Callithrix jacchus: one gene and its partners. The protein of the gene in region 1 purifies or fractionates together with the protein of each later gene. This does not show direct contact. Links are inferred from orthologs where the notes say so. Each region holds a gene or a part of one and is shown on either strand. Other genes may lie near its edges. The genes, in order: NHERF2, PLCB3, LPAR2, PHLPP1, ARHGEF6, PRKD1 and PHLPP2.

What was found.
Region 2: the proteins of NHERF2 (region 1) and PLCB3 purify together in Homo sapiens (co-immunoprecipitation; 3 studies listed by BioGRID and IntAct, with this or other methods). This does not show direct contact. The link is inferred for Callithrix jacchus from reciprocal best matches to the Homo sapiens genes NHERF2 and PLCB3.
Region 3: the proteins of NHERF2 (region 1) and LPAR2 purify together in Homo sapiens (affinity purification with western blotting; 3 studies listed by BioGRID and IntAct, with this or other methods). This does not show direct contact. The link is inferred for Callithrix jacchus from reciprocal best matches to the Homo sapiens genes NHERF2 and LPAR2.
Region 4: the proteins of NHERF2 (region 1) and PHLPP1 purify together in Homo sapiens (affinity purification with mass spectrometry; 3 studies listed by BioGRID and IntAct, with this or other methods). This does not show direct contact. The link is inferred for Callithrix jacchus from reciprocal best matches to the Homo sapiens genes NHERF2 and PHLPP1.
Region 5: the proteins of NHERF2 (region 1) and ARHGEF6 purify together in Homo sapiens (affinity purification with mass spectrometry; 3 studies listed by BioGRID and IntAct, with this or other methods). This does not show direct contact. The link is inferred for Callithrix jacchus from reciprocal best matches to the Homo sapiens genes NHERF2 and ARHGEF6.
Region 6: the proteins of NHERF2 (region 1) and PRKD1 purify together in Homo sapiens (affinity purification with mass spectrometry; 3 studies listed by BioGRID and IntAct, with this or other methods). This does not show direct contact. The link is inferred for Callithrix jacchus from reciprocal best matches to the Homo sapiens genes NHERF2 and PRKD1.
Region 7: the proteins of NHERF2 (region 1) and PHLPP2 purify together in Homo sapiens (affinity purification with mass spectrometry; 3 studies listed by BioGRID and IntAct, with this or other methods). This does not show direct contact. The link is inferred for Callithrix jacchus from reciprocal best matches to the Homo sapiens genes NHERF2 and PHLPP2.

The regions. Positions count from the first base shown.
Region 1 is NC_133513.1:4,719,474-4,722,973, reverse strand, and holds part of NHERF2 (Na(+)/H(+) exchange regulatory cofactor NHE-RF2), read left to right. Parts: intron 1-1,899; coding exon 1,900-2,079; intron 2,080-2,303; coding exon 2,304-2,457; intron 2,458-2,534; coding exon 2,535-2,578; intron 2,579-3,157; coding exon 3,158-3,220; intron 3,221-3,456; coding exon 3,457-3,500.
Region 2 is NC_133511.1:121,312,176-121,315,675, reverse strand, and holds part of PLCB3 (1-phosphatidylinositol 4,5-bisphosphate phosphodiesterase beta-3), read right to left. Parts: intron 3,294-3,500; coding exon 3,225-3,293; intron 3,139-3,224; coding exon 2,998-3,138; intron 2,806-2,997; coding exon 2,726-2,805; intron 2,644-2,725; coding exon 2,590-2,643; intron 2,476-2,589; coding exon 2,400-2,475; intron 2,297-2,399; coding exon 2,196-2,296; intron 1,657-2,195; coding exon 1,490-1,656; intron 1,417-1,489; coding exon 1,270-1,416; intron 1-1,269. UniProt on the Homo sapiens protein: Catalyzes the production of the second messenger molecules diacylglycerol (DAG) and inositol 1,4,5-trisphosphate (IP3).
Region 3 is NC_133523.1:18,319,776-18,323,893, forward strand, and holds the start of LPAR2 (lysophosphatidic acid receptor 2), read right to left. Parts: upstream 2,801-4,118; 5' UTR 2,660-2,800; intron 2,544-2,659; exon of another isoform or gene 2,157-2,543; intron 2,071-2,156; 5' UTR 1,851-2,070; coding exon 1,109-1,850; intron 1-1,108. UniProt on the Homo sapiens protein: Receptor for lysophosphatidic acid (LPA), a mediator of diverse cellular activities. Seems to be coupled to the G(i)/G(o), G(12)/G(13), and G(q) families of heteromeric G proteins. Plays a key role in phospholipase C-beta (PLC-beta) signaling pathway.
Region 4 is NC_133514.1:105,930,218-105,933,717, reverse strand, and holds part of PHLPP1 (PH domain leucine-rich repeat-containing protein phosphatase 1), read right to left. Parts: intron 1,751-3,500; coding exon 587-1,750; 3' UTR 1-586. UniProt on the Homo sapiens protein: Protein phosphatase involved in regulation of Akt and PKC signaling.
Region 5 is NC_133524.1:133,481,096-133,484,595, reverse strand, and holds part of ARHGEF6 (rho guanine nucleotide exchange factor 6), read left to right. Parts: intron 1-1,407; coding exon 1,408-1,494; intron 1,495-2,290; coding exon 2,291-2,369; intron 2,370-3,380; coding exon 3,381-3,500. UniProt on the Homo sapiens protein: Acts as a RAC1 guanine nucleotide exchange factor (GEF).
Region 6 is NC_133509.1:63,838,468-63,841,967, forward strand, and holds part of PRKD1 (serine/threonine-protein kinase D1), read right to left. Parts: coding exon 3,301-3,500; intron 1-3,300.
Region 7 is NC_133521.1:30,256,504-30,260,003, reverse strand, and holds part of PHLPP2 (PH domain leucine-rich repeat-containing protein phosphatase 2), read right to left. Parts: intron 3,115-3,500; coding exon 1,960-3,114; 3' UTR 1-1,959. UniProt on the Homo sapiens protein: Protein phosphatase involved in regulation of Akt and PKC signaling.

The DNA of each region.
Region 1 (3,500 bases):
TGCCTGGCATCGCAGGACCCTACTGACAATGAGGAGGGTTTAGGCTCGATGACAGGCAGAACTTCTTGCCTTGTAGAGTTAAAGACACAGAGGGGTGGCCAGAATGACTCCGAGAACATGGAGGGGGCTTTGGCCTGGCCTCAGGGCCCCAGATGCCCCACCAGATCCTGCTTCCTGTCTGGTGCCTTGAGAAAGCCTGCCCGGCAGTCCTCTGTGCAGGTGTGGGAAGGGCTGCGGGGCCAGCACTGCGGGGCCAGTCACATGTGTGGGTGGCTATGCGTATTCCCAGGTGTATTTGGGTGTCTCGTGTCTGTGACCCTGTGACGTGTGTCTGCAGCCTGGCCCGTGTCACGCTCCCACCTCCCCTCCCAAATTGCGCTCCTGTCCCCACACCTTCCCTCTGTGTCAGGCCAGCCTTGGGGGCTGAGCTCTGATGCATCCCTGAGGGGCACCTCCGTGGGCAGGTGTCAGGGTCAGCCTTAAAGCCCCACGCCTGTGCTACCAGGTGTGTCTGGAGGAAGGGCGGGTTTGTGTGGTGGGGCCCTGAAGATTTTGGGGGTCTTGTACCCTCCAACCCATGTAGCCCAGCTGAGCCCCCTGGGGACTGAGGAGCCCCAGCCTTGTCCCTGGAGTTCCTGGTGTGATGGGCTGGGTGGCAGCCATGCAGAAAGGCTTCAGGTGGGCAGGAGGCTCCACAAGAGGTGTCTGGCAGGCAGGACAGGAGGAGGGTGTTCCAGACCAGGGGCAGGGCTTGAGCCGAGGGTACGGGGCACTGGCCTTTCGGGGAAGGACCCCTGTGCGCCCTTGGTGGGGCGGCACCTGACCCCCCCCGCCACTAGCATGGCTGTTCCCAGTCCACTGGGGTTTGGAGTGAGCCTGAAGGTGGGTGGCTGGAGGGGTCAGGGGTATGTGAGGCCCGGAGACCTGCCTTCCTGAGGTCTGAGTGCCCTTCCCGCCGTGCTAGCCTGGCCCTGGCTTGGCCTCAGATCCCTCAGGAACACACAGGGTGGTAGGAGGTGAGGGATGGGCCCGGGCGGCCCCCCACCCTGCCCGCACACTCTCCCCTGCACACACCCTCAAGCCTGGCACTCCCTGGAAACCTGAGCTGTCGCCCGCCTGCTCCAGCCACCGCCATGTTTATCTGAGCACAGGCAGCCGCTGGCCACTGCCACCTTGCCTGCCCCGGCCCAGCCCCTGGTTGGGGGGATCACTGGGCCTGGCCCCTGCCTGCACGGTCCCCTGGCCCAGAGCCCCACTGCAGGATGCCAGAGGTAACATGGGGCAGGGCCCTGGGATGGTATCGTGGTCCCTCAGGGGATCAGTAGGCGCTCTGTGCCCTGTCCACTCTAAGCTCCGGCCCCAGCCCCTGCTTGCTGGGCCCATGGGGGTGGGGCGGCTCATTTTCCCGGAATGTGAAAGCAAACAGAGCCGCCACCGCAGCTAGCCACGGAGGACTCTGGAGACAAAACAAAACTGCTGGCCTAGGAGCGCCTCACCCACGCTCTGGAGGCGAGCCTGGGGCAGGGGGACACACAGGCAGGGCCCTTGGGGACAGCCACCTAGGAGGCCGATGGTGACAGTTCGTCCCACCTGGCACTTCCTCCCACCCCGCCTGTGCACCGCACTGGCCTTGAGCCCAGAGAATTCTCTCAGCAACCTGGGAAAGCTGCTGGGCCCATCGGGGAGGCTCCTGGGTTTAGAAATAGGCTTTGCGAAAGTTCCCACAGCTAGAGCTCCGTCACAGGCAGCCTGGACACCCAGAGCCTTTGCCCCCGAGACCTGGGCCTGCCTGTGGGGGGGCATGGTACTGAATTTGGGCAGGGGCAGCTCCACCTGAGAGTAACCTCTCAGGGCAGGAGGCTGGAGCCAAGAGACTGATCCTGTTTCTCGGGCCTGCAGGATGTCAGTGGGCCCCTGAGGGAGCTTCGCCCTCGGCTCTGCCACCTGCGAAAGGGACCTCAGGGCTATGGGTTCAACCTGCACAGTGACAAGTCCCGGCCCGGCCAGTACATCCGCTCTGTGGACCCGGGCTCCCCTGCTGCTCACTCTGGCCTCCGCGCCCAGGACCGGCTCATTGAGGTACCGGCCCACCGGGACTGCAGGGTGCTGGGTACCCCATGCCCGTCCACATCGGGCCCCTCGGTCCCTGCAGGGAGGAAGGAGATGCCGGGAACCTGAGCTGGCGTGCTTCCTGCTGCCTTGGCGGGCGGTGCTTGTGATGAATATTTGATGCCACACCTGGCCACGTAGTGTGGGGGGCTGTCTGGGTCCACTTCGGGGCTGACATGTGCTGGTGGTGGCAGGTGAATGGGCAGAATGTGGAGGGGCTGCGCCATTCCGAGGTCGTGGCCAGCATCAAGGCCCGGGAGGATGAGGCCCGGCTGCTGGTGGTGGACCCAGAGACAGACGAACACTTCAAACGGCTTCGGGTCACCCCCACCGAGGAGCATGTGGAAGGTGGGCCACGGCCCGGGGAACAGGGCGGGCACAGTGTGGTGGCCGAGCAGCCACTGACACGCTGTCACCACCCACAGGTCCTCTGCCAACACCCATCACCAACGGGACCAGCCCTGCCCAGGTGAGTGGATGGGGTGCCATGAGACACGGTGCCTCTGGGGTACTCAGGCCGACAGAGGCCCCCTTCTCCCTGGAGATCCCTGTCCTTGAGGAGGTGTGGTAGTGACACCCAATTCTGGCCCTGTCACCTGTCTTTAATGGCCCTGTGGATCTAGTCCTGGGTCAGTGCCACACCTAAGCTACATGGGGCACCTGGGGTTGGGGCCGCTGCCTTTCCTCCCCTCCTGGGCAGCACCTGGTAAGGAGTTGGTAAGCTGTCCAGTCTCTGCCTCCTAAGGGAGCTGGCGGTGGCCTCACCGCAGGCATCGGGCATGCTGGCTGTTCCTGTGCCCACTCCCTCTGCACCATGAGCTGGCCAGGACACCCGTCTGTTACTGCCAGGCACGGGTTCCCAGTGCCTGCCCCGCCGCAGCTGGAGTGCACCTGAGGCCCGAGGCCACAGCCGAGTGGAGGAGCACACACAGCTGTGGGGCGTGTGCATGTGTACGTGTGTGTGCGTGTGCAGGCACTGCGTCTGTCTGTGAACCAGCGGCTCCCTGGGCGGGAGCCCTGAAGCCACAACCTGTCCTTGCTTTCCCAGCTCAATGGTGGCTCTGCGTGCTCTTCCCGGAGTGACCTGCCTGGTTCAGACAAGGACGCTGAGGTATGGATGTCCTTCTCCACCACTCCTGAGCTCACACTCGGTGCCAGAGACCTCGGGGTGGGTATCTGTGGAGGTATCAGCCAGGCAGAGGGGTCTGTGCCTCCAGGATGCCCTTGAGAGCCCACTGCCTCAGCCCCAGCAGGCGGCCTCTGGTGGTTGGTCCCTGGGAGGGGCTACCATCTGGGGTGTGGGACTAGGGCTCACTGCAGGCACCCCACCCACCATGCCCACCCCAGGATGGCAGTGCTTGGAAGCGAGACCCCTTCCAGGAGAGTGGCCT
Region 2 (3,500 bases), on another chromosome or scaffold:
GGCGTGAGCCACTGCACCCAGCCTCAATCCAATCTCTATAGAGCACCTGGCATCATCTTTCTAAAAATATATCATGGGGTCATGTCACCTCTTCTGCTTCACCCTCCAAAAAGCCGCTCCCTCCACTCAGGGTGAATACAAGTGCCTCCGGGCCCTGGGTCTTGCCCTGCCTTGTTCTCCCTCTCACACCAGGAACCTATCCCCAGCCCACTCTGCATCCTGACTCCCCAGCTTCCTTTCTGCTTTTTTTTTTTTTTTTTTTTTTTTTTTTTAATAAAGATGGGGTTTCACCATGATGGCCAGGCTGGTCTTGAACTCCTGACCTCATGTGACCCACCCACCTCAGCCTCCCAAAGTGCTAGGATTACAGGCGTGAGCCACTTCACCCAGCTCTGCTTTTATTTTTTTCACTTTTTTTGGGGGGAAAGGGTCTCACTCTGTCACCCAGGCTGGAGTGCAGTGGCACAATCATAGCTCACTGCTGCCTCAACCTTCCCAGAACCAAGGGACACTCCCACCTCAGCCTCTCAAGCAGCTGGAACCACAGGCATGCACCACCACACCCAGCTAATTTTTAAAAAATTATTTGTAGAGATGGGGTCATACTGTGTTGCCCAGGCTGGTCTCAAAACCCGGGCTCAAGGGATCTGCCTGCCTTATGCTCCCAAAGTTCTGGATTACAGGCATGAGCCACTACACCCATCCCCATTCCAGCCTCTTGAAAGCACCTTGCCGGCTAGGCATGGCAAGAGCTCACGCCTGTAATCCCAGCATTTTGGGAGGCCAAGGCAGGTGGATCACCTGAGGTTCGAGACCAGCCTGACCCACATGGAGAAACCCCATCTCTACTAAAAATACAAAATTAGCCAGGCGTGGTGGCACATGCCTATAATCCCAGCTACTCGGGAGGCTGAGGCAGGAGAACCACTGGAACCCGGGAGGCGGAGGTTGCGGTAAGCTGAGATCGCACTATTGCACTCCCGCTGGGGCAACAAGAGCGAAACTCGTTCTCAAAACAAGAAAAAAAAAAACCCTCAGTCTCCTGCTCCAGGCCTTAACACAGGCCGTTCCAGGCCTCAGCCTTTCCCTGGGGAAGCCACCATGAGGCATGCTGCCGCAGAGAGGCCCCACTGCCCAGGGCCGGCTACCTGTTCCCTGCCTGCATCCCCAGCACCGGCCAATTAACAAGCAAATGAGATGAAAGAACGGTGCCTCAGGAGTGGGCCATGCCACGAGCGGAGGTCACGGGCACCAGCCCGCCCTGCTCACCAGTGAGATAGGTGTTATGCGAGGAGTTGATGAAGTAGGCACTCAGCGGCTGGGTCATGTCTGCGCTCAGATCCAGGGCTTCCAGGGGCAGGATGCCGTTCTCCTCACCTCCCAGATAGCGGCTAAAGCCCTCCATGGACATCTGGTCTGGGGTCGGAGGGGGTCAGCAGGGTCAGCTGGGCCCCGCCTGCCCCGCCCACCTGCACCCTGGCCAGCTCACCTCGCTCCAGAAACTGCTTGTTGGGCTCATACTTCTCAATGAGCAGCCGGGCTTGGGAGGGCCGCAGGGGTGGGTACAGCACTTCGTTGAGTCTCGGGTCGCGTTGCTTCTGGTTGATGAAGTCCATGAGCTGCTCCAGCGTCAGGTACGGCTTGCCCTTGGCACCTCTGGAGGGGGCAGGAAGCCAGGTCAGGCTGGAGCCTCACCAGGCTCCCATCCGCTCGACAAGCCCGGGCCCTGGGCAAGGGAGTCAGAAGGCTTGCCCCTGGATCTGGCACCCAGTGAGTGGGACTCTGGGTGAGTCACAGCCCGCTCTGGGCCACAGTTTCTCCCTTCACTCTTCTGACTACTCAGCATTGGCAAGGCAGCAGACCAGTGGGCACTGGCAATGGCCAGAGCTTGGGAGCTGCCCAGTGCTCGGCCCACCACCCCTCGCTTCCAGATCTCACAGGACGCCTGAGCCTTGCTTCCCATCGCAGAGTGGGCTGATTAAACACCTCTGCCACGTGATCAGCCCAGAGCACCTGTAACTAACTGAGGGACACAAACGGTGGCTTTGAGCAGGGACACACCGACAGGTCCTCCCCGGGCCCACCCCGGCGCTCCAGGACCCAGCCCACCAGCTCCCCTTCTCCCCACTGAGCTAGAGGCGCGCTAAGCAGAAGCCACAGACGAGCATGGGAGCTGGGAGGCAGGCCCTGCTCACATCTCCAGCAGGATCTTGTCAATGTCCGGCCGCAGACACAGCTTGTTCAGGAACCGCTCAAAGATTTCCAAGGAAAACTCATCGGGCCGGATGGACTCACTCTGGGGGCCAAGGAGTGTGGGGTGAGAACCCAGGGGCAGCCAGCCCTGGAAGGGTGGGTACCCACCATGACACCCCACCTGCCCCTACCCCTATTTCACACACCCGGTTGAAGTTGAGGCCACAGGATTCCAGCGCAGTCTCCACTCGCTTCTTGTCAGCTGAGAACATCTTCAGGATGCTGATGCGGGCAGCAGGGGTACAGGGTCGGCGGTGGGGGCGGTGCAGGGTCAGTGAGGGGCAAGGGTCACCAAGGTCAGGGCAGGAGGAAGGTGTTTGGGGAAGGGGTGCTCACTTCTTGACGGGGATCCGACCATCCTGGTTCACCTGCAGCTTCAGCTTCGTGTATCTGGGGAGGTAGGTAAAGGGGTCACACCCTGAAAACAGCCACGTGAACCCCCCAGATCCCCTTCGGGTGGCCTGGGGCTCACGCTTTGCGCAGGAAGGTGTTCCGGGAGGCGTTCTGAGCCAGGATGTTCATCGCCAGCTTGAACAGCTCCTCGGACCAGACCTGGGGGCCAGTATACGCAGGGAGGCAGTGAGTGGGGTGCAGAGGGGCTGCCCAGCCACAGCCCAGGCCCGCAACTGGCTCTGGGACACAGTAGGTCACAGAGCAGCCTAGAAACAGCAGGTGTCAGTAAGTGACAGCCGCCTCAGAGAGTAAGGCAGTGACTCCTCCCTCAACCCCTCGGTGCCGGCCCACCTTGGCTGTGTCGTCCTGCACGGCCATGAAGTTCAAGAACACTGTGTTTACGGGGTCTGGCCCAGACACCACCGTCATCAGCTTCTCCTCCAGCCGGGCATCGGGACCCCCAAAGCCCAGAACTTCCCGGATCTTGGGGTCCTGAGTCGGTGAGAGCCAAGGGTGAGGAGGGGTTCCCGGGCCTCACAACCTCACTGTGGTCTTCAGTCCTGGGCTCCATCACTCACCTTGGGCAGGCGGGCGTACCGGCCCGTCCGTGTGTCCCTGATGGAACTGATGTCCAGTGTGTCTACCTCCTGGGGGGAACCAGATGCCAGGCTGGGTATGAGAAGCTGTAGGTCCACAGCCAGGAGCCTCCAAGCTCCCCACCCAGGCCAGGGTGGGGCCAGCCCCTGGCCACAGCCCCAGCCTTAGCTCCTGGCCTGAGCACTTCCTGTCTGGGCAGCCGTGGGAGAGGTCAGCCTGCAGCTGGGCTCCACCCCCACGGGCAGGGCAGGAGTCTG
Region 3 (4,118 bases), on another chromosome or scaffold:
GTCACCTCCCGGGAGCGGGGGACCTCCAGGTTGCCTAAGGAGGGGTGAACCAGCCCAGTTTGGAAACAGAGCAGGTCAAAACTCCCGTGCTGATCAGTAGTGGGATCCCGCTGGTGAATAGCCACTGCGCTCCAGCCTGGGCAACATAGCTAGACCCTGTCTCTAAAAAATAAAAACAAACAAAAAAGAAAATGAGCCAGGTATAGTGGTGCATGCCTGTAGTCCCAGCTACTCAGGAGGCTGAGGCAGGTGGATCGCCTGAGCTCAGAAGGTTGAGGCTGCAGTGAGCTATGATGGAGCCACTGTAATCTAGCCTGGGCAACAGAGTAAGACCCTATCTCTCTTTCTCTTTTTTTTTTTTTTTTTTGAGACAGAGTTTCACTGTTCTTACCCAGACTGGAGTGCAGTGGCATAATCTCGGCTCACCGCATCCTCAGACTCCTGGGTTCAAGCAATTCTCCTGCCTCGACCTCCTGAGTTGCTGGGACTACAGGTGCGCACCACCATGCCCAGCTAATTTTTGTATTTTTAGTAGAGACGGGGTTTCACCTTGTTGACCAGGATGGTCTCGATCTCTTGACCTCGTGATCCACCCACCTCGGCCTCCCAAAGTGCTGGGATTATAGGTGTGAGCCACCACGCCTGGCCAAGACCCTATCTCTTAAAAAAAAATTGAAATGTTCTTCCCTACTCACCCTGGAAAAAAAAAATTGAAATGAAAAAATATGTATAGATTAAAAAATAATTTAAAGGCTTTTTGTTAAACCAGGCTTAACATTGCTAAAAACGCTTAAGGGCTTCCCACAAAACTCAAAATAAAATATTACTCCTGTCGGTGCCCCTTAAGGCCTTGCTGAACCCTCCTCACAAGTCAGCTTTCCTCTTAGAGGCTCTGGCTTGGTACTGCCTTGAAGTTTTTACTTTGTGTCCCCTCTGCCTGGAACTCTCTGTTCCTATCCTCAGCATTCAGGCCTCTGCTCACAGATCACCTCCCTAAAGAACATTCCCCACCTAAGTCAGCCACCCATCACCCTCTATCAGGCAGCTTGCTTTGCTTGTTGCTTCATAGTGTCTTGTGGGAAATAGGGGGAAGCAGGGTCCCACTCACCCAGGATGATGACAACAGTCTTAACCAGGCTGAGCGTGGTCTCTCGGTATCGGGGGTGGCAGCTGACATGCTCCGCCATTCGCTGCACTCGCCGCCGCACATAGAAGAAAATGCGGGTGTAGACAGCCACCATGAGCAGGAAGACAAGCAGGCTCGACAGAGCCCAGACGGCCAAATAGGAGCGGCTGAGCAGGGGTGCCATGCGGGAGCAGCGGTCCAGGGCACAGAGGCAGTGCCAGGAGTGGGCGGGTAGCAGCCCCAGGCCCAGGGCAGCCATCCACACGCCCACAATGAGCATGACGACGCGGCCACGAGGCAGGCGGCTATGCAGCTGCACGGCCATCACGCTGCGGTGCCGCTCCACCGCGATGGCCAGCAGTGTGGCCACCGAGGCCGTGAGGCTTGTGTCCAGCAAGCCCTGCCGTAGGAACCAGCCCTCAAGGGAAAGTCGGGCTGTGCGGGGGCCAGTGTGGAACATGAGGAAGAGGTAGGCCACGCCTGCGAAGAGGTCAGCCGCGGCCAGGTTGCCCAGCAGGTAGTAGATAGGCTGGTGGAAGCGGCGGTTGGAGGTGATGGCTGCTATGACCAGCAGGTTGGTCAGCAGCACCAGCACGCTGACAGTCAGCCCCAGTGCCACCACGACTATATCCTTGGGCCGCCAGTGGGAGCTGAGCTCCTTGCCACTGTTGTTATAGAAGAAGCCAATGGTCTCGTTGTAGTAGCACTGGCCCATGGTGACCATCTGGGGACACACAGAGATCAGTGCATGTGGGCTTCTTGGAAGGGCACAGGGAGGGGTGGTAGCTGCAGAAGAGGGTCAGCACAGGAATGGGAAGGGTCTCAAATTCAGATGCCTTGGAGCAAAGTGGCAGTGGTGAGGACCAGGGTGGCCTGGAAAACGCAAGCTCCTTGGGGCTCAGGTGGGGGTTGACGAGCAGCTGTTTCTTATCTACTAATAAGACCTGTGTGCACGACATCACAGAAGTCAATGGGTTTTTTAACCAGAAGCAGCGAAACAAAACCCATCCGTGGTCCAATCCCAACTCACCTGCCGCCACTGTGTGATCCGGTTTGGGTTGTGGGGAGAGGAGGGTTAGGGCAAGACAAAGGGGTGTGAGCTGCGGGACGAGATGAGGAAGGGTCACTTTGGTGCCGGAGTGAGTGTAGGGAGCAGAGACCCCGTGGCGTGTGCGCACAAGGGTGAGGTCACTTGCTAAGACCCTGCGAGGGGGCGGTGCCGAGATGTGGAGGTGATCGGAGTGGGCAGAGAGGCGGCCCCAGAAGTTGCGCGACGGGATTTGGGCGCGAGTGCTTCCCAAACGGGCGGGGCACTGGGCTGTTCCGGGTGGGACGGAGGACATTGGCGGTCTCTGGGACAAAGACAGCGGTTGGGGAAGGGACGGCTGGCCGGGCCTCCAGGCGTCTCCAGGCTGGGGAAGGGGTAGGGGGAAAGGGATCAGGGGGCGGCGTCCTGGCCCCGCAGGCACGTGCCGCGCCCTACCCCCGGGCCCAGGCCCGCACCCGCCCGCCTCCAGTCCGTGCCGGCCTCACCTGGGCCACCCGTCACGCTGCAGACGAGGCAGGCTCGCGGGGGGTTGGGGAGGGTTCCAGGCCCATGGCCCGGTAACCTCGGCGGGAGCGGAGGAGCGTCCGGGTACGCCCGGCGCGGGCTGCAGAGAGGGCACAGGAGGCGGGGTCTCCCCCGGCGCCCCGCCCCGGCCACCTGGGGAGCCCCGCCCCGCCACCTGGGGAAGCCCCGCCTCCGCGGCCGCGTCGGGGGCGGAGTCGCCCGGAACCGCAACCCTCCAGTTTCCTCCTCGCGGCCCCTCGGTCGCCCCTCTCTATTTCCGGCGGGGACCCCCAACCCGGGTTCTTGCACACCTCACGCGCCCGCAGTTTCGAGTCTGCGGGGCTGAGTCATTCGGGCGACCCGAGAATTCCCACCGTGACCTCGCGCCGACCGGGTGTAGTTCTAGGTGGTCTAGGGTCCGCGCCCCGGGTCCGGACCCCAACCCTCGCAGCCCCACCCCGAGCTCTTCTTCGTGTCCAATCAGCCGCCGAGTTACTAGCCACTCCCTGATCCGACTCGGCTCCCACTGCCCGGACCCCCGCCCAGCCTCGGCTTTCCCAGCTTGCAGCTACCGGACGCCGCGGCCTCCCGTGCAGGGCCCATCTCTGTGGCCCCAGCTGATCCTGGGCAAGTTAGGGTTTTGCAATCCCGCCCCCGCACTCCCCCACGCTGGGACGGCGCTGCCCCCTGCACAGCCCGGCCCTGCCCTGCCCTGCGGCTTCCTCCCTCGGCCCCCCTGCAGCGGCCCAGGGCTCCCACGGTCTGGAGCACACAGCCCCATTGTCCCGGTTATCTGCACTTTGTTATACTGTATTTAGTTATGCAGGACCGGATCGGGGACGCAGAGCTCCGGGAGGGCCGGGCCGGTGTGACTCAGCCGGGTGCTGTGGCCCAGCTCCAGATGCCTTTAGGTAGGTGCACCAGCCTGTTTGACGATGTGAGAATGAGGCCTTGAGGCTGAGCGCAGTGGCTCACTCCTGTAATCCCAGCACTTTGGAAGGCCGAGGCAGGCGGATCAGATTGAGACCATCCAGGCCAACAGGGTGAAACCAGTCAATACTAAAAATACAAAAATTTAGCTAGGCCTGGTGGCACACGCCTGTCGTCCCAGCTACTAAGGAGGCTGAGGCAGGAGAATCACTTGAACTTGGGCGGCAGAGGTTACAGTGAGCCGAGATCATGCCACTGGCACTCCAGCCTGGCCAGAGTGAGACTCCATCCATCTCAATAAACAAAAAAGGAGGCCTGGATTCCCCTGATTGGTAAATAAGGGGCAAGGAGTGCTGTCTACACTGGCCTCTCCCCTGGCAGAGACGCACCCAAGGGCATCCAGGACACAGTTTATTAGAGGCCATCAGACCCCAGGCACCACCAGAATGTGGAGTCTGAGCTGCCCATCTCCTCCAAGGTCACTTGGAGTGGGAGGAGGCAGGCAGGTGT
Region 4 (3,500 bases), on another chromosome or scaffold:
CCTCACTATACAACACTGAGCTATTTACAATAGAAATTCTCAATCAGCTGTTCTCTCAGAGAAAATTAGTGAATCCCAGTGACTTAAGTCACCTGACAGAGTAAAGCAACTCCTAGGAGTTAGTCTCCATATTCTACAAATGTCTATTATTTTCAAGACAAAAAAAAAAAAAAAAAAAAAAGCCTTTCCCCCCCAAAGAAATACAGAATTACAATATTAAATCATTTAGCAATGGCAGCCTGTCCTGCCTTCCAAACAAAACAAAAAGCCATTTTTAAAAATATTACATTATCATTAACTGTTCTCTGTAATATATTAAACCTTCTGTTCTTTGTCTTTACATATCTGATATGTTAGGGGGAGAAGTTAACAAATGTAAATCGTATTGGTAAAGCATCACTAGAAGTGGTGATTATTTAAAAAAAATAACCCAAAGAAAGAGAACCTACAGATTAGCTGCAATGACAGGTTGGGAACAGTGTCTGGGGGAAGGACGTGGAGTAAAACCCCTGGTTTAATGTGAGCCTGGGAGACTCTCGTAACTCGTCTTTTGTGGTTAGTTTATTTGTTAAATAGCTCGGCTGGGTCATAGTGGCGTGTCGTAATAGTCTGGCAGCTGGTCCAGCTGGTAGTGCCGTGGCAGCTGTGGCTGCAGTGGCGGTGGCGGTGGCGGTGGCTGCTGCTGCTGCTCCTGGTGATGCTTCATGATTTCTTTGACCTCCTCTTCCAGCTCTGGGGGTATGATAAACTGATCATCGGGATCCGGCTGAGCTGGGGCAGCAAAATAGCCTCCCGGCTTTCGAAGAGGGGCGTCTGCAGCCACCTCTATCACATTGTGGCTCCTTTCCTGAGGCGCAACAGAGCCATTGGCCCTCCGACGCCCGATGGTCCCAACGGCAGAGAAGTCTGCCTTCTTGGGCAGACCCGGCTCATCCTCATTGGCGCTGATGACAATGCCCTCATCACTGGCCTCGGCTGGCACCTGAAGCAGGTGCTGCTTCTCCTTCTCCTTGGCCCGGCTGCAGTGAATGTCCACCTCCACCTCCACCCGGCTGCCGTTGGTGAAGACGCCCTCGATGGGCTCCTCATCGTCACTGTCAAGGCCGTTGTCGGAGAAGGCGCTAGAGAATGTAGCGCTGGACAGCTGGCGCTGGAAGGAGTTGGACAGACAGACAGGGTGGAGCATGCAGCGCTGCTCACTGGGGTAGGCGGGGCTGTTCTCGCTGAGGGCTCCGGGTGGGGGCTCGTCGGAGGCCGTGGACCCCACCTCGCTGCTCATCTCGGAAGTGGAGAGCTCACTACTGATCTCAGAAGCCATGCCGCTGCTGGAGGACGGCACACCCAGCCCGTCTGAGGGCCGATCCTTGATCACCATGTTCACCGAGGAAGGGAAGATGCCGGGGCTGGGTGGTGGCACGGCCCCACCGGCACTGAGCTCGCAGCAGCAGAAGCTGTCCTCGGTGACACTGAGCTGCACCACCACAGCGCTGATGCTGTCGTGGCAGCCGTAGCTCTGGGCCAGGGTGCACAGCTTCTTGGCAGCAGCCAGGGCGTCGGGCACATTGCGCACGGCCTCCACGGCCTCCTCGACAGATAGGCTGTCCCACAACCCTTTACTGCCTAGGATGAAGAACTCATCCTGGGGGGTCAGGAGCACGGACTGCACGTGGGGGCGAGGCACCACGCTGGGGTGGAGGAAGGTGTAGCCCAGGATTCGCGTGGACTCAGTCACTCCGTTCACCTTGCCATCCTGAAAGAACAAGGGTTTGCAGACAGACAGTTAATACGGAGCACCTGCAGCAACTGTGCATCTTCCCTGCAGGTCCCCGACTGTCAGACCACAGAGAAGTGCTGTGTGGTCTACAAAGGGAAGTGAGTAGTTAATGTGCACCTGTCATCTGAAACCCCAGGTAGCAGGCCTTGGCAGGTAAGGAGCAGTAGGGACAAAAGGAAAAGATTTCGGTTATGTGTTACTGGGACCCTGTTCCCATTAGGTCACAAGTCCCGCTGTTTCTCTACAGCAAGCCATCATCTAGCCTTACACAGCAAGCATGGCTGGCTAGCTCCTCCTGTAAACCCACAGGACTCTGAGATGGGAGAGCCTTTCTGATAGAAGACACACGAGGCCGGCATACATCAAGACCGTGCCCCTGAATCTTCCGTTGCTCTCCATGATCACAAGTGGCACTAGTGTCTGAAGGTCCAGAGAGGACTCAAAAGTACTTAAGGGGTGGAGAAAGCCTTGGTGTGACTAGGTGGGTAAGAATGCTCACGTCAGGAGAGCAGATGCTAAAGGAAATGCCAGTTCTTACAATTTCCTTGAACTTGATTTCCTGGTGGTCAATGGAGAAGGTAAGCTCTACTGGCTTTAGTTTAGCTGGGTGCATGTTATGAAATCAGTTACCAAAGCGCCAGACCTGGTTCCTCCTTCCCTTTTTTCCCTTTCCTCTCCTTTCCTTTGCTCTCCTTTCCTTCCCTTCTTTCCCTTTCCTCTCCTTCCCTTCTTTCCCTTCGTTCCCTTTCCTCTGCTTTTCACACTTTTAAGCAGGTAAGCATTCCCATTGGTAAAATTAGTAGTATGAGCTTCGAGGACAACTTTAGAAACTGCCTTGATTCTATGGACATAATCTGTCCCCAAAGCATGGAATTTAGCAGAAACTGTTCTTGCTGTTCTGCCCACGCCTTTAGATTTCTCTCCATCAAAACCGATATTTTGTGACTCATGACAGTGAAGCTTCCAACATGGGCTCCAGGAGTGCTGCTTGCATTCCCTAATTCAGCAAAGCGTCGGTCATCTGGCCTTTTCCTGAAGAAAATGACGTGGGCAGACAGCAGTGACCTGCAGATACACATTACCTTCAAGAAGTTTCTAGTCTTATATTGTTGATAAAACCCATAGAATCATGTGCAGTTTGACTCTGGTGAAAGTTTATAGTCAGTAGAGAAAAAAGACTGATTCCACACAGGCTCTGATGAGGGCCATAAGAAAGAAACAGACTCAAGCTATACATGGGATTCTGTGCAAGTGAGTGTGTGAATTTGTTCTCTGTCTGTTCTCAGAGCAGAAAGGATTAACATGGACAGTAGGCACTGTGTTAGGGAGCAGAAGACAATGCACTGAATTAAACTTCAGATCAACATTATGCCAAGCACAATTAAGGTAAATGATTTCTGTGACCTGAATGAATCATAGTTTGCACGTCAGACTTCTCCTGTTTTCTGTGCCTCTCCTGTTCCTCGCTTTTGTCTGCATTGCTTAACATTTAACAGTGAGGTTTTACTTCTCTACCTGAGACACACCCTCAAACACACACACACCCCCATCCGCTGTGGGGACTGCCCTACGGGGTGTTTAGCAGCAGCAGGTGCTCAGTGGCCTCTGTCCATGGCATGCCAAGTGCACTCTCCGCTCCAGCTGTGATGACCAAAAATGTCTCCCTATGTTGAAAAATGTCTTGTGGGGAAGCAAACTGCCCCCAGTTGAGAACTGCTCACTGTGT
Region 5 (3,500 bases), on another chromosome or scaffold:
TTTCTTTTAGGAAGGGGGCCAGGGAAAGGGAGGAAGGTTGATTATGGCACCTGGTTTGATTTATCGGGTGTTAGAATTGTCTTCCTTCTCCCAAAACATCTTCCTACACTCTGACACGTCTTTGGCAGAGATTCATTACTTTGGGTTAATAAGCAATCTCATTTAAAATGCAGATACCCCAGGGAAGGTTAATGTCGTGAGTCTAACTATTAGTCATTCACACCTTTGGGATAAACCTCTTGGGTGAAGGCAGGAGGAATCAGTGCTATAAAAAAATAAAAAGACAAGAAGGTAGAGAAGAAATTGGGGAGCATGAGTTGTAGAAATTCCATGAGGAGCATTTGAAAATGGCCAGTGTACCGACTGCTGCTGAAGGTTCAGAGGGCAAGGAGTGTGAGGACCAAGAGAAAGCCATTGGATATTGCTAGAAGGCAGTTATTGATGACTTTGCAAGAGCAGTGGGGGTGCAGTTAGGGATGGATCAATGGGGAGAAAATGAAGGCAGCAACTAATCTGGCAATAAAATGTCAAGAAATGGGAAACTACGCATAAATAGCCACATGGGGGTAAGCAAAGGTCTGTTAGGACAGGAGGTGTGTGTAAAGGAAAAGAGGAAAAGCTAGTAAAACAGGAGAGGATGCTGGGAGAAGAGGAGATGTCTGTAGAGGAAAACTAAGTGAGACAAAGATGTGAGAGAATGCGGAGCGCTTTTTAGAATAGTTAGCCTGGAACGGTTCCTCTTCTCAAATGGAAGGAAGGAGATGGAGACAGGCGTAATTGTAGCTAAGATGGCTGGGCATGTAAGCTAAATGTAATTTTTGAGTATACTAATTGCATATCTGTTGAAGGGGCTCTTCTCATGTGTAAAGGTTTCCTCAGTGCCCTTAAAAAAGTGTATCTACTTTTACATTTTACGTAAATCCAATAATTACCCTGTTCTTAATGACTAAAGCGAATTTTATGCATATGACTTTAACATATATTTTAGAGCATACTACATTTCTTATCACCTGAAAACCCCTTAATTTTGCCATTTTTTTCTAAATAAAATATATTTTCATTTTGTGAACCTGGAGACTTATTTTGTGCCTAGGACTAGCACATCTTGCTGGCTGCATAAACTGTGGTTTCTTCTCAGGCTTTCATACATGGAAAGCAAGCATGGTTCTTTGTATTTAACTGTTATATATAGGAAGAAGAGAGAGAACTGTGGGTTTATGTCCATTTCAAAGTAAAATTCAACTAGGTTTTTGTTTTCAAGTTGGATATCTTTTTTTTTAAAAAAATCACTTTTAATGTTTCTGTTGTTTATATAAGGTCTATGCTATAAGGCAGTGATTCCAGAAATTCTCAACAAATAAAATGTCCAGTTTTGTTCTTCAAATAATATTGTTCATTCTCTCTCAGGAAAAAGAGGAGCGGTACCTTATGTTATTTTCAAATGTCCTGATAATGTTATCTGCAAGTCCTCGGATGAGTGGCTTTATCTATCAGGTTAGTAGATTTCATATAAAACACACAGCAGACCCCCTAATGAAAACAGGTTTCCAACCAGATGCAGTATCTCCACTATGGCATTAAAAGCTCAAGCCAAGAGAACCAGAATGTTCTGACCGTTCATTTTAATTAAAAAGAGAGTCTAAGAGCAGATGTTCCTTAGATCAAAGATCTTTGTATTAGTGTAATGAGTTTATCTTGAATATATCCACCGCTTTAGTTATGCTCTGGGTTTTGAATGCATAAATGGAAACTAGATAAATTAGCAGCAGTATTGTACAGGCCCATGTCATTATTGCTGAGAAAACATAAAGCTGAGATCTGCTCCTATGCTTGTCTGATTATAGTCAGATCACATGATTCAGGCTTCTAAGAAGCATGTTATTAAACTCCTTAGGAAATTAAATGTCCCTCAGTCTGCTCCAAGATATAGAGTATTAAAAGTTACTATTGCCTGTTACATCTTGGCCTGGCAATTAATAATTTTCATAACATCTGAGCCTTCTCTTCTTTTTTAACTGTTTCTTATGAAAATGCTTTAGAAAAGTAAACTACTTTGTAAATCATGATCTTAACAGTTTAGGGTGTGTTAACCAAACACAATCCACATTTCCCCGTTGCTTTCTTGTCTGATTAAAATTTAGAGCAGGGAAACATATTATCCATTGACAGACTGGAGAAATACATCTAGCCATAATTTTGCAGTGCTGAGAGGGTCAGAAAATCTAACACTCTGAAATAAACAGAGACTCCTATAACTGCAGAATTAATGAGAATGTTCTTTTTCTAATAGGGAAAAATACCAATACCAGGAACAATGGTGGCTAGATTAGATGAAATTGAAGGGAATGACTGCACATTTGAAATCACTGGTAGGTAATTTTCTCTTTTTCATGTAACTACTTCCAATTCCTTTTGCAATGAAGGGGAATTTAATAAATAAATGCCGTCATTTTCTGTTACATAGGCCACGAGCAAGTTTTACATGGTCATGGCAAAGTATATTCCATTTCCTGGGATGATTAGGGTACAGCAATAGAACAGAGAAGTCTCTTCTCATTCAAAAGCCGTGGCTTTGCCATTAGTTTCAATCTTCTGTTGCATGAGAGCTACTTGTGAGAGCTAAGGAATAACAAAATGGAATAATGTAAATGTAATTTTCTCCCTTTCTGTCATTTGTTCCCTGGTGACAGAGAAGCCAAAGATATGGACTTTTATCAGCGATTTCATCATCAGCCCGAGTTAGCAAGATTTGGTTATGTTTCTAAAAAGTTCAGGAAAGCCATGAAACTATGTTCACAAATTGAGCACGATGCTGAGGCTTAATAATGCTCCCTGACATTTTAGCTTATGATCCCTTTTGCAAGGCCTGTGTCATTTATATGTAGTGGCCTCACTGTGGGTTCTGATACGGCACAGTGGCTAAGACTGGGATCATAGCCTTACTCTCTTCTTTCCCAAGAAGGATCCTAAGGTTTGGTGTTTGTCAAAAGATTGTAAACAGCCTTAGTTGGATCTTGTTCCAACTTTGATACTGGGAGAACCAGTACAATAGTCCCACTTTAGACTTAACTAGATGGACTACGTGCTTACATTTTTGGACTGTGAGTTTGTTTATAGTGAAGTTTTACACTACTTTTAAACTTCTGTAAGCAGTAAAAATCAAGGAGAGTTTTCTAAATCAGACACGAATATTTATTTACTTTATTATCACAGGTTATCTGTTTCTGATATAGAAGTTTCAACAGGGTTATCCCATAGGTGTGAAAACCCCTGAAAATACACACCCAAGTTCTAGTCGCGTGAAGTGTATTTCTGAATGGGACAAGCTCAAGTTTTTCCTTGTCTTTTGTTTTCAAATTGATCATAATTGGGGAATGTAGGTAACACAGTAGAGAGAATTGTGGTCCATTGCAACAACAACCAGGACTTCCAGGAATGGTTGGAGCAGCTGAACAGACTGATAAGAGGACCTGCCTCTTGCAGTTCATTATCCAAAACAT
Region 6 (3,500 bases), on another chromosome or scaffold:
AAATCCTTGATTTCGAGGTCTTGAAACCTTTCTTTATTCTCTCTAATGCAGAGACTAAAGCAAATCACTTATCAGAGGATTGTTGTGCGAATCAAGCAGCACAATGCTACACAACCACCCCAATGTAGAGATATTATATTGTATCAAGTCAACATCTACACTAACAGAAAAAACACATAGTAAAGGAATCTATAATTCTGACACATGTATGCATATTATTAAGATCTTACCTTATAACAACACTTTCTTTTGCTTTTTCATGCCAGGAAAAAATACAACTAGCAATATGTCCAAAGAACACCAAGGAAACCTTCACATTGTTTCTAAAATGATACCATCAATCTTTGGTTACCAGCCAGGCAAGTGCTTAGTGTTCTGCTGTCCTCCTCCTGATGCAAATTCTTGGCTCACCCCCCACCTGCCTTTATAGATGCCTTTCATAACCTTTACCTCAGTCAGTTTTTGTTAGAACCTCATTATGTAGGCAGGAATCATTTCCCATTTTGCAGATGAGGAAATGAAGCCCAAAGAAGGTAAGGGATGACTACTCACAATGGCAGATAGGACTCTCTGTCTCAAACTACTTGACTGTTGACCATTCATCTTTGTCAGAATCATGGAGGTACTTGGAGTTTTATTTCCTCGGATCTGAATTCTCAGTGTTTCTGGTGTGGTTTAAAGTATCCTGAGACTAAAAATTGATCTAATATCAGTTGTGACCACCCTGTGACAGATACTATTAATAGTTTTGCTGGTTTATCAGGTCCTACAAGCTTAAAATTAAAATTATTTGGTCTCAACTCCATTATAACTTCTAATGATGGAATTATTTGTTTTCAATAAGATAATGGAATAGAACCTGAGCCAGCAACTACTTTTATGACACCTTAACTGATATTATGATGCAATTTAACTAACTTTTCTCTATATTCAAGCATGAGTTCTGTTCATACATCAGCAGCTAAATAACTTTTTTTTCTTTTTGCCATTCAGAGCTTTAGTTCACATAACAGTATAATGCCTGTGCCTCCAAGGAAAGAGTGAGCCATAAGGAGGTACTGAGTCATTTGGAAAAGTGAGGGTTCTATCTCCCATCTGAGTTGATCTCCATATCACTTTATTTGAATGGTAGGAAATTTTTAGTGCTTAGACCTTTCTACAGCCAAGTAAAATCCTAGTCAAATATAAATGCCTTTTGAATTATCCTACATAATTCCCTGTTGCTAAAATGCTATGTCTCTTTCTTTTCTTTCTTCAGTGACTGGCCTAAATTCTGTCTCCTCTGAAAGTAGAGTTCTAACTAGTTAAGTACATGGTGATTCTCTTTCCTCTGAACTTAGAGGCCCTGATTTTCCACCTAGTAACAATTCAAGGAAATAAATTATCATATTATCCAATGTCACATAACTCATCTCCCCAACTAACATTCAAGTTCTTTGAAGCACGTCTGATATTCTGTCCTCTACTTTTGTATTACCTACCAAGTACGTATATTGTGATTTCCCAAAAACTGTTTCCTAAGCCTTTGATATCTAGTCCTCCAGAGTCTATTATTAGTGATAATTAAAAGTTCATAATTTATAAACATTTATTTCTGGCCTGAATATGTTTTGTCTTAATAGGCTATATAGCTGCTTAGTAAGTCAAATTTTCACAAAAGCAGAGAAAGGGACATCATTTGTTCCACTACTCCAAGAAAAAAAAGTTTAAAAACATAAAGATTATTTCCCAACATCCAATTTCTGTACAACAGGAAAGTGTCTGATTGGCTTCAGTGATACTGCAGATTTGCATTCTGATAACAGGATCAAGTTATTTTACTGGATTTCTGGATTAGCAGTATCAAGCATAATGGTTAGCTCTACTTAGATGTAATGTTTCCTATCAAGGGTACTGGTCACAAGGTTATTTGATAATTCGCTCTACTCTGTCTCCTGGAAAAGAAACATAATTACACTTTACTTTTCATCTTTGTTGAATTATGACAAATATTTAATTATTCCTTTGGCACACATGATAGTTCTTTTGTGGGCCACAGGTTCCTTTAAGATATATCCATCTACCTATGATTTGCAACTAATTAGAGGATGTTAAAGGTTATTGCTAATGGTAACTTAAAACTCTGATAATGGATAGCTCTTGGCATTTAATACCATTAGCAGTCTAAGAACTTAATTTATCCTAGGCAGTTCATATACTCTTTTCCCATTTCTATACCGACATATGCAGTAACAGGCATCACATAAGTGAGGTTTACAAATGTACTAGCCTTTCCACATGGTGAATATTCAAACAAACAGAATGAACCTAGAACTAGATATTGCCTGTAAACTAGAAAAGAAGTAGGGCTAGTGGTGAAAGGATGTATGTTCAGACAACCTGGGTATGAATTGTGCCCCTGCTATATACTAGCTTTGTAGTTTGAGCAGTGGTGTCATTGCTTTTGCTCAGTTTTTTCACTTGAAATATAGCCATAATAGTAACATCTATCTTATGAAATTTTTTATGAGAATTAAATACACTCCAATGAATGTTAACTGAGGAACTCCTTTCCAAAGTACTGAATAAGTCACTTTCTCTGCCCTGTAAGCCCCTGTAACTTCTTTTAAAACAATTGTGTTTTATTTAAGAGGAATGAAATACTTAGTAAGAATATGGCTCTAAACAATGCAACATTACCAAGGTAATTTATTCTAAAGAAACTATCAGAGATAAATATAGGAATAATACATCAGGATGTTATAATATTGAACACAGAGAAATAACCTAAAAATTCCAGGGGAATGGCCATGTAAAATATATACATATTTTAATGCTAAAAACAACATCAGTAGACAAAGAACTTAGTAAACTAATACATGTAATATGATCATTCAAATATCAATTATCAATGTCATAACATTCCTGTCTTGATAATAATTTAAAAGTTTTTAACAAAGAACTAGGCACATGTAAGTAAGCCTTTACAATAATTCATCATTACCATTATATTAAGTTATAAATATTTATAAGTTCTAAGGAAATGTACCAAAATACATTCTATCTGGTTGTTCACTTACTTCTATATATAAAGAAATATATATATATATATGAATATATGGATATATATATATATATATCCCTAATTTCTGTTATGTATATGTGTCCTACCCCAATTAATTTGTGTCTTTGTGTCTCCACTCTGGCAGACACTGTACAATGAGCATTTATCAAGTAATAACTTACAATTAAATTCATTTAAATTAATAACATAAACACATAAGGATTAGATCATTATCATTTTTGAATGGAAGGTATTACCTTCATGAGAGATTTCCTTCCAGGGATTTGGTGGATACATGAAAGCTGCATTCTGAATTTGGTCATGTATGTCTTCATCTTCATTAAATGGGAATGTGCCACTTAGGCTTACATAGATGATGACTCCAACAGACCACATATCTAGAGACCGATTGTAGCCTTTGTTCCTTAAGACCTCAGGTGCCAGGTAAGCTGGGGTA
Region 7 (3,500 bases), on another chromosome or scaffold:
CACGTGCATCTGGGCATGGGGCCTCTGAGAAGATGAAGACACGTGATTATTATGGACAGGTCATCTAGCTTTTGACTATTGCTTTTAACAAAAACTTCAAAAAACACACACATGAAAACATATTTATATTTAACCCTCTCTTTAACATATTGTTTCTCATGAAACAAATTAAAAATGGCTCTACTCTATTTTTAATTGTGAAAGTGTTCCAAAAATTCAAAGCACATTCCCCACTGGGTAAAATCAAGCAATGCCAAAATTTTGGGGAATAAATAGGAATTGATTTTCCTAAGTAAATCTTACAATGGAAAAAGTGACAAAAATATGGAAGAAACTGAATTTTGCTACAGTTAAGTGGAATGTGCAAAAAATACAGGTTTTCTGTAAGCTTAAGAATTTCTCAATGAAGTGTCTTTCTTATGTTGGTATTGAGCCCAGTATTCTGAAACCACATAAACTGAATATGCAGTTTTCAGAAGAGTACACTGTTCAACATTCAAGAGGTGGGCTCTCAACTCACTTCTAACATTCTAGAAAACAATCCCTCTCCTCCAGCATAGGAGAAGAAACAAGTCTAACCTGAGTACTCCATCCATCTGTTCTCATTGGCCTCAATCCATTTCAGTGTCATCTGCCGTAACTTAAGGTCACCTGGACGCAAGCAGTGTTAGCCTTGGCCCTCCCCATTAGGAGGCTGTCTGCCAACTCCTCCACATGTTAGGAAAGAGGCCAATCCCTAAGTTTCCCTGGGAAATTCGTAGCAGGTGTCATATTTGTCAAGGAGTAATTCTCTTTCTCTGATCTAGGGAGAAGTAGTCTTGGTCCTCCCTCCTTCCCCCTTTTCAGCCCCAAGAGAAGATCCTGCTACCCCAAGGTTCTCAGGAGCGTTCACAGTCTGACATCTACCAGTTAAGTCAACTTCCCAGGGCCCTTCCTAGTACCCTTGGATAAGGCTCCAACACCCAATTCTCTCTCTGCCTAGGATGAAGGTGCCGGGCTGCCTCTAAGATTGGCTCTAGTGCAGATTCAAAAATAAAAAGTTCACAGTCAATGCAAAGTGCTCTCATTGTATTACATACATAAAGTATCTGTTTGATTGGTTCTACATTTCCAACAGACATCATTTTGATAGGCTGTATTCTCGTAGAGAAGAATGAAAACCCATGTGACTAGTCACATCACACCTCATTAGTCTGAGATAAGGTGATTTCTCTGTCACAGAGATCCATCAGCAGCAACTAGTAAAGAGAATCAATCTTCACTTTTTTCCTCCACAGAAATAGTCCCTTTCCTGCCCAGGCAGGCAAATTCTCAAAGTGATCCTAGGAGAGAAAGGGTTAATGGCAGGTGGTAGGACTGATACAGAACAGCTGCTTTCTTCCCAGTACCCCTGGGAGTTCCAATGCAGGTTAAATGTGAAACTTAACACTGATAGTGGCTACTAGTTTACCCAGAGCCAGCCCCTGATGGCTCTCACCCTTTCTGGCTCTGAGTTCAATCCCACACAGCTATGGTTAGAAATGTAGAGGCAGGGCCGGGCACACTGGCTCATGCCTGTAATCCCAGCACTTTGGGAGGCTGAGATGGTCGGATCACCTGAGGTCAGGAGTTCAAGACTAGCCTGGCCAACACGGTGAAACCCCGTCTCTAAAAAAAAATACAAAAAAAAAAGAAAAGAAAAGAAAAGAAATTAGCCAGGCATAGTGGCGAGTGCCTGGAATCCCAGCTACTCAGGAGGCTGAGACAAGAGAATGGCTTGAACCCAGTAGCGGAGGTTGTAGTGAGCCGAGATTGTGCCATTGCACTCCAGCCTGGGCAACTGAGCAATACTCCATCTCAAAACACATACACACAGACACACAAAAGAGAGAGAGAGAGAAATGTAGAGGCGGAATGCCTCTAGCAGGACCCTACCCCAACCCTGCACAGCCTCCTCCCACACTGTGCCCAGCAGAGCAGTCATAGCGCTGTGTCAAACTCCTCTGGGGGTTCGGTCCGATCCTCTTCATACGGCTCAGGCTCAAGCCGGCTGTCCTGGTGCTGTTTCATTTGTTCCTTCACTTCTTCTTCCAGGTCGCGAGGTACAACAAACTGGTCCTCTGGTTCCATCTGAGTGGGGGCAGCAAAATAGCCAGTTTTCCTCTTGGGTGCTTCTGTGGCCACTTCAATGAGGTTCAGGCTGTCCTCTAGGGGCACAATAGAACCATTGGAGAGCTTCTTCCCATAGAGGCAGGAGGTGGAGGGAGACTTCTGTAACTCCATCCTGTCCTTGCTCATTGGCAGGAGGATGCCACTATTCACACTGTTCTGTCTTCGGATCCCAAAGCACGACCCTCTAGCACGTTCCTCAGAACATGGGGTAGAAGCACTCTCTGTGAGAGGGGGTGAGCTCTCTAGATCCCGGCCCCTGCAGCAGTGAATGTCTACTTCCACCTCTACCTTGCTGCCATTTGTTATGACTCCCTCAACAGGCTGGTCATCATCACTGTCCAGGCCATTGTCAGACTGGTTACTGGAGAAGGTGGCACAAGAAGGCTGGCGCTGAAACAGCCCAGAGGTTGGTGTTGGGTGGAGGCTACAGCGCCGCTCTGGCCTCGGAAGCAAGGCAGCATCCAGGCCCCCAGCATTATGCTCATCAGAAGCAGTGGACCCCACTTCACTGCTCACCTCTGAGGTGGACATCTCACTGCTGAACTCAGAGGCAATCCCACTGCTAGAGGAAGGAGTGGCTGGCTTAGGGGCATCCTTGATGGTGGTGGTTGAAGCAAACCCCACAGGACCTGGGAGGGTGAGCCCATTCATTTCACAAGTACAGCCTTCCTCACCAATATTCAAATAAATCACCATTGCCCCTACGTTGTCCTGACAGCCATAGCTCTGTGCTAATGTGCACAGCTTCTTAGCAGCTGCTAATGGGTCCTGTACATGACGTACAGCACTGACAGCTTCTGTGTAGGACAAGTGTTCCCACAACGCTTTGTTTCCCAGAATCAGCAACTCATCTTGAATGGTCAGTGGAGTGGAAGATATGTGGGGCCTGGGGAGGATCCAAGGGTAGAGGTATGTACAGCCCAGCATCCGGGTACAGCAGGTTACCCCATTCACTTTGTTGTCCTACAGAAGAGCAGGATACAGATTTGAGAAACAAGCAACAATGACAAGCAACTTTATATCTTTCTAGATCACACTGCTTAGGGATATACAATAAAACAATTTATATATGATTTTTTTCTACAGGTAAGTATAATTTTAAGTGAACACATAAGAATAAATGTAGATAAGTCTTAAAAGACAAAATACTATATGGTTATTATAGAGCCAAGTAAAAATAAGTGACTAAAAGGCAACACCATCCCAAAAGATGTTTGCTTGAACATGAAGAACAGACTTCAGTATGTTTATAAATAGAGAAACACGATAGAAAAACAATTAAGCAGAACTATCATTAATTCTCTATCACTAGTATTCTCAGAGAGGCCAAAACTCAGAAAGGTCACTAA